Linked DNA regions of Bombyx mori. The protein of the gene in region 1 purifies or fractionates together with the protein of each later gene. This does not show direct contact. Links are inferred from orthologs where the notes say so. Each region holds a gene or a part of one and is shown in the gene's direction. Other genes may lie near its edges. The genes, in order: dystrophin, isoforms A/C/F/G/H; beta-1-syntrophin.

What was found.
Region 2: the proteins of dystrophin, isoforms A/C/F/G/H (region 1) and beta-1-syntrophin purify together in Homo sapiens (co-immunoprecipitation; 4 studies listed by BioGRID and IntAct, counting the BioPlex papers as one, with this or other methods). This does not show direct contact. The link is inferred for Bombyx mori from reciprocal best matches to the Homo sapiens genes DMD and SNTB1.

The regions. Positions count from the first base shown.
Region 1 is NC_085113.1:13,856,564-13,860,397, reverse strand, and holds part of dystrophin, isoforms A/C/F/G/H, read left to right. Parts: intron 1-142; coding exon 143-265; intron 266-3,834. UniProt on the Homo sapiens protein: Anchors the extracellular matrix to the cytoskeleton via F-actin. Ligand for dystroglycan.
Region 2 is NC_085118.1:12,114,441-12,118,274, forward strand, and holds part of beta-1-syntrophin, read left to right. Parts: intron 1-1,026; coding exon 1,027-1,221; intron 1,222-1,833; coding exon 1,834-2,051; intron 2,052-2,318; coding exon 2,319-2,404; intron 2,405-2,552; coding exon 2,553-2,991; intron 2,992-3,834. UniProt on the Homo sapiens protein: Adapter protein that binds to and probably organizes the subcellular localization of a variety of membrane proteins. May link various receptors to the actin cytoskeleton and the dystrophin glycoprotein complex.

The DNA.
Region 1 (3,834 bases):
TTAAAAGAGCAAAAGTGAACGAAGTCCACAACGGTTCATCTTGTGTTGTGAGGTCCGGCGACGTCAGTTGAAGTCAAGTGAAAGTTTCACTGATTGGATCAAAAATGCGACTTGACTTAAGAGTGTAATGTTGTTCTGTCAGGATACGAGATGGCGGCACCGTCGGCGGCGCAGGGCCGGCGCCGGCTCACGTGGCTCGTGGAGGTGGGCGCTGCGCCCCCGTGCGCCCGGGTGCCCTACGAAAAGCATCTAAACTACACTAAGTGTAAGTGCACTTTTAATTTCTTTTTATTTAATACTAGCTGACCCGGCAGAATTCGTAGTGTCTCAATAGATAAATCAAAAACCTAAACTTTTGTATAAAATAAACTTAAAACAAACAAAAGGAATCCGTCCGACGGGGGACACATCAAAGGGAGAACAAAATTCCGAGCATTTTCATATCTATCTACCTTTTAAACCTTCTCTGGACTTCCATAAATAATTCAAGACCAAAATTAGCCAAATCGGTCCAGCCGTTCTCGAGTTTTAGCGAGACTAACGAACAGCAATTCATTTTTATATATATATATATATATATATGCTATCGTTAATTTTATTTAAAAAATCAAGTTCTGTGACTGTTACTAGTTCACTCCTTAAATACCGACAACACTCGCGTCAACCGACACGTACCTACTATAATATTATGGTCTCCTACAGAGTAGTACAGAGCGTGCCTGCCGACGCAACGCGCGCACTCAGCTCGTAGAGATAGTACGAGTAGGTACATGTGCCTGAAGGGCATAGCTTGTCTTCATTTATTATTCTATTATTATAAACCTTATGACGCTCAATCTTCAGTGTGCATACCTAGGATAGGTAAGATAGGATTTTGAAGTCGTCGTGGCCTAAAGGATAAGACGTCCGGTGCATTCGTATCGAGCGATACACTGGTGTTCGAATCTCGCTGGCGGGTACCAATTTTTCTAATGAAATACGTACTCAACAAATGTTCACGATTGACTTCCACGGTGAAGGAATAACATCGTGCAATAAAAATCAAACCCGCAAAATTATAATTTGCGTAATTACTGGTGGTAGGACCTTGTGTGAGCACGGGTAGGTACCACCGCCCCGCTTATTTCTGCCGTGAAGCAGTAATGCGTTTCGGTTTGAAGGGTGGGGCAGCCGTTGTGACTATACTGAGACCTTAGAACTATATCTCAAGGTGTGTGGCACATTTACGTTGTAGATGTCTATGGGCTCCAGTAACCACTTAACACCAGGTGGGCTGTGAGCTCGTCCACACAACTAAGCAATAAAAATAAAAAATAAAAAAATTTTGTGCAGACGACTTGCAACTTTGCGTGCAGGCGATTTGGAGTGGTTTTCAAACATATTATGTTTCAACGGACTGTGGATAACCGTAGCGGTACCAGCTGGCAGGGGCGGACTTCGCTACAGTGAGGTGATGCGGTGATAAAAGGGATGATGGAATCATATCAAACAATGATATGCTATCTATTGATGGCATGCCATTGTTGTGCTGATGATAGCACGGGGGATGCGTGATGTATCAGCCCTTAAAGTCTCTCCCAGACCGTGATGCAGGAGAGGCGGTCAACACTAGTGCCAGAAGTGGATATCCTATTGTCGTAGTCATTTCGTGGGCAAAGCCAAGTTGTCGCAAAAATGATGGGAGTCCTCAATAGAGCGAAGCGGCACTTCGCACCTGGATAAAGGTTTTGGTTTACAAACCACAAGTCCGGCCTAGCGTGGAAAACTGCCCCCATTTTTCAGCCGGTGCTCCAAAATACCAGCTTCTTCCATTTCACCTCAATCAGAAAAAGGTCAATCGGATTGTCGTTGATCCCATTCTCATGGATCGCATGGAATCTCTGGGTCTACGGAGGAACTTCGGTTCTCTCTGTGTTACGTACCGAATGTACAAATGTACGTAGGTACCTACTGTATCTACTAAATGTATGTACTCCACACGGCAGATGAACTGCTTGAGATGATCCCATCACCTCGTTATTACTATCGCACGGCCCGCCCCCGGAGTAGAGTTCTTCCATACTACCTGGAGCCACTACGTTCATTCATTCATGTTCGCCTGTCTACAAGGCCAATAAAAACAAAAAACAAAACCTCGGAGCCCTCCATGGAATATCGGGTACAAAACACAGAGAGCGCTGAGCTGCTCCTTAGATAAAGAGGCAAATGGAACTAACTAATAGTACAAAAAAAAATATCTTTGAATTTCCTCAAAAAATGCAAATAACACAGCGTGTACATATTTTTGTAAAGTTCATTTATCAGGTTACACTTAAGAGTAAAATATATTTTAATCTGCGCAGATAATATTTTATGTAAATAAATGAAAAGTGAAATATTTTTAAAGCTAACGATTTAAGCGAAATTATTCTGATTTTGCAACCATGTGAACAATCAGGAGTCAACAAAACCACTTACGACAGCCCTTTCTATTTCCTCTATTGTCAAATAACGCTGCTTGATGCATGCAGTGGTATAAATCCGAAATTAACTCTAATATCCCTAAGCGGCGGTGATACCATAAGTATGCTCAACCCTCCGTTCTATTTTAGCTATTACTAAATAAAGACACCTTTCCTACATCCAAGTTCCAATTATCAATATCATCGATATTCACAATTTTACAGACGTATTAGGTAATATTTTATCAACCACAAACCGCTGATTTTTCATAAAATATGCACAGAGTCGAACACAGAACGTCCTCATTTATATATTAATACGTGAAGCAAAAACTTTGTATCCCTTTTTACGAAAATTGCGCGGACGGAGGAGTATGAATTTTTCCACACTTATAGAGAATATAGAGATGAAGTGCACAATGCTAATATTTTTTTTAAATAATGCGTAAAAGATACATTAAATCAATCAAGAAACCATTACACACACTACATACCATGTATTTGACGCACACATGCATGCATACATGCATGCATACTATTTATTGTCAAACTTTTGTTCTTGACGTCTGTGGTCAAATTGAGAATACATTAAATATTGTTTGTCTTTATTAATATTTTTTTATAGCGTAGCCTTGGCGAAATTTGTGATGATAGAAGTAGAAAATACAATCATAATAGTGTACAAACTTATTATACAATTCCAATTAATCATAGTCGAATTTCGACTACTGCGGGACCTCTAGTTTTCTTAAGTCGGCTTTAAGTGGCGACACTACAGAGTGTAAGAGATAAGGGCGCCAAAAAATTTCACAGGAACTAAAAAAAGTAGTGTTAGTTTAGTTACTGTGAAATATACTTGAAATACACCTGTAAATATACCGAAGTACATACATATTTATTAAATTTGTCAATTTAAGTATAATGAACCTTATAATAACCGACTCCTACTTCTACAGTGCTCTGGGAACGCCGCGCCGTTGGCTCCGCCCACTTTCATTCTTAGATTTTCAATGTTGCCACAATCCAACGTATTCCAAGAATATTTGCTTTTAATTATATTTAAAAATAATAATAACTTTAATTTTAATCTATATATATAAAAATGAATCCCTATTTCCCTTGGTCACGACATCATCCGCGAACGGCTTTACCGATTGCGCTAATTCTTTTTTTGTTCTGTTTGTTACTGCCAGGAGAAGGTTCTTATGATAGAAACAAATAGGAAAATTGCGCGGAAAATTAAGAAAGTTAAAAAAACTTAATCAACATATTAAATTTTTTTAAAACGTAATCACCATTTTAAATTTTTTAATGATTTTCTAATGCACCCGGCCTTTTAGCATATAACAACATTGTCAACATAGTATTGACAGAATGACAGGCGGGCTGCAAA
Region 2 (3,834 bases), on another chromosome or scaffold:
ATTTGAGATACCAGGTAGGTCCTACTCTAAATAATCTTTTGCACAAAGATATACAAATACCCACAAGATTATATTTATACATTCTGATTGGTATTTATTTATTTATTTAATTTACTTCAGATTTTACATCCATATTACACGTCTTAATTACATTGCATTAACATTTAACATTTAACATTGAATAACAGTTAGTAAATATATTATTATGCATTTTTATGTAATTAAAGACAATTTAGTTTGCTTTTTCTCAATTGCCATTATTAACTTGGTATTTTCAGTGAAAAACTCAGATATTAACTATTCCTTGTAACTCTTGATAGTGATAATCTGCATATCTATTTAGTGATTTTTCATGAAATATATTAAATAATACCATTAAACTGAAAACGGCTTTCAAGTAAACTGTAAATAACATAACAGTTAACAATGTTGCAGAACATCTAACTCTCATCTATCGCTCTGGGACACTCTTATTATAATAGATTATTTTATTGTTTAAGTAGGTCATTGAGCTCACGGCCCATCTGGTGTTAAATAGTTAATGGAGCTCATGGACATCAAAAATTCTGCCACTTATGTCGAGACATGAGTACTTTTTGCAGTCCACATCTGTCCCCACCCTTCACACTGAAACGCATTACTGCTTCACGGTAGAAATAGGCAGGACGGTGGTACTTACCCGCGCGGGCTCCGGATGATATTCCGGGAACCGTGGAAGTCTAGGAAAGTCAATTGTGAACATTTCTTTAGTACGTATTTCATTGGTACCTGGCTGCGGCACCCGAACACCGACACAGTCGCATCACTCGATATGAATGCACCGGGCGTCTTAACCTTCAGACCACGACGAATTTATATTGCATTGCATTGCATTGTTATAAGTGATTGTAGTGCAATGTGCATTTTTTTGTTAGCCATTTAATCATTTCTGAAAATATCTATAATTATTTGTCAGTTTAGGCAATTATAAATTTCTCATTTAAGAACAATAGTCAATTTTCCAATTAAATTGTGTATCCTTTACAGTGAAATATCTCCGTGAAGTGACACCGTACTTCCGTAAGGCATCCATTATAAGTGAAGTAGGATGGGAGCTACAACGTGGGTATATGGCAGACACACCACCGTCGCCACCATCTCCACGCCGTCGACGGGCAGACACTCGTTATGTACCACTGTTAATGGCATGCGTTGCCAAGAATCTCCGTCATAATGACCCAGGTCAGTTTTTAATAATAATAATAACAACTGGCCACAAATTACGCGCCGTCATCTTGGCCCATATTTAGGATTACCTCTGTTATGGGTGGGTACCTGATAACTGATAAACATACATGTTTATAAATATATGCATATACAGATAACAAACACCCACAGAAAGAACAAACAAACCTGTTCGTCAGACAATGCTTGCCCGATGTGGGCATCGAACCCGTGACCCTCTGCCTCTGACAACAGTCAGGGCCGCTAACTATTGCACCACCGAGTCATTCACTCACTTTAAAAAAGTATATCTATATCTATACTAATATATAAATCTACAGTGGTTTTTACGGATGTTCCGTTATAACTACTAAACCCTGCATCCGATTGACTTGAAACTTGGTATCCATGTAGAAAATACATGTACTTAATGGATAGGCCAATATTTATATGAGTGTTGGACTCTCTACACTAGTTGCGGGGCCGTTAATGATAAGAATCTTTGTGGAGCTGAGAAATAATAATTTTAATTTTAATTTTAATTTTAACTGCCTAACGTAGTGGACTGGGACAGCTAGTATGTATATATTTTTAAGGTTTCAAAATATTTTGATGTAATGCAATTTTCAGAGGATCGCACAATCGAAATATATTCACCGGACGGCGTCCACGCATTAGCATTACGGGCCAGTTCAGCGGCCACAGCGTCAGGGTGGCATCGCGCGCTACATGCAGCCGCACGTCGGGCTGCACGCGCCGCTCTTGCTCGCGCCAGGCCGAGACTTCGCCCTCTTGTAGGCGATGTGCGATATGCTGGTTGGATGGCAAGGCGCCCACCGCAAGATCATGTAAGAAAATTAATCAATGTAGGATGGGTAAGGACGGAACGCATGTAAAGCGTGTGGAATGGAGTGTTAAGGTATGAGAAAAAACGGTAAGAAAGGGACAAAAGAATGAAAGACAAAAGCAAGATGGCGAGGACGATTGAACGAGCGAGGTGTGAAAAAGGTGTCAGTTAATTTTGAATTATAATAATAGAGAAGATTTGAAAAGAGAATAATAAAACTAAAAAAGTGGAATAATTGTATGAATCGTGAATGTTCTGTTAAAAATAGATGAGCGCTTCAGGAGGGTCTGACAGCTCCGACGAGACTGAAGGCTGGCAGCCAACATTCGTTGCAATCACAGACAGAGAGTTAAGGTGAGCTTAATAGCGCACATAGTGCTTTTAAAATTTTGCCATTTTGCAGTGGTGTCGATGTGGGCTTACAACAGAGAGATTTTTTTTTTTAAATTTAACATAATGGTTTATGTGAATTTTTTGGAGTATAATGGTCGTCATTGAACAGGCTGTATGAGGCGGCGCCGTGGTCGGCGGAGGCATGGTGCGCGCCGGCGGAGAGCCTGCGGCTGGCGGCGACGCGGCTGGCCTGGTGGCGGCGAGCTGGGGCGGGCGGGGCGGCGGCGCTGGGGCTGCGGGCCGGGTGCGTGGACGGGCTGGTGCAGCGAGCCCTGCGCGCGGACTCGCCGCACGACCTGGCGGCCGCCGCGTCCGCGCTGGTGGAGGGGGCGCACGCGGCGGTGCGAGCGCAGCCCGAGTTCACGTTCCGCTGCTCGGTGGGCGGGGCGGCGGCGCGGCTGGCGCTGGGGGCGGCGGGCGTGTGCGTGTGGGAGGCGGCGGGCTCGCTGGGCCGCGCGCTGTACCGCCGCCCGCTGCACGCACTCCGCGCTTCCGCTGACGACGACAACAACAAGCTCTGGCTGCACTTCGCTGACGACGACACGTTGGTTAGTACCTATTGCTGCTCCTTTGTAAATAAGACTTGAATAGGCATGTACCGTGCTATTTAAAGATTGAAGTTAAATTTCTTTTGGGCACGAAGAGAGATAAATGAGATTTATTGAAGTGAAACTTCTAATGCGACATTCAACAAAATTGTGTTAAACGTATAACGCTACCATGGAATAGAAAGAGACAGAACGAAAGTGAATGCGTGGCACTCGTACGCATGCGCGTAGTATACCTGTTACAGACCATCGCGAGCGTTAGCAACGAGTAGCGTCCGATATTTTAATGAAGCATTTCAAATTATAGCATCTATAATTTAAAATATATATATTAAAAATGTTGAAGATGTCGAATCTCCTATACACCACATTACCTATTACAAGAGCAATCTGATTTAAGGATGAAAAATGAAGAAAACCACAATACTACACATCGAAAAAGAAGCTTCACTTCATTTACGTGCACCAAGTTGCAAGCGCACCGTTTTTTTTTATTGCTTAGATGGGTGGACAGGCTCTGAATATTTCTGAATAAATTTCTATATATTTTAATGTATATTCTGAATACATATCTAAATATTTGATCAAGGAAACCCGTTGAAAGTGGCATATTTCACGTGGCGTAGCATATTTGTGTATTTGTTACGTTTGATCGAAAACGGTGATGCAAAGTGAAAATGTTTACCCAAACACATCACCAAACTGAAGTGCCAAACTAAAACTAAACGTTTCTGATGCAACCGAGACAGAGATGACTTATATATTTTCTCGTTTAAAACCTATCACTTCTGTCACATCCGGGTTTTATGCGCGTTTGTGTATATTTTTCATTAAAATGCGTTT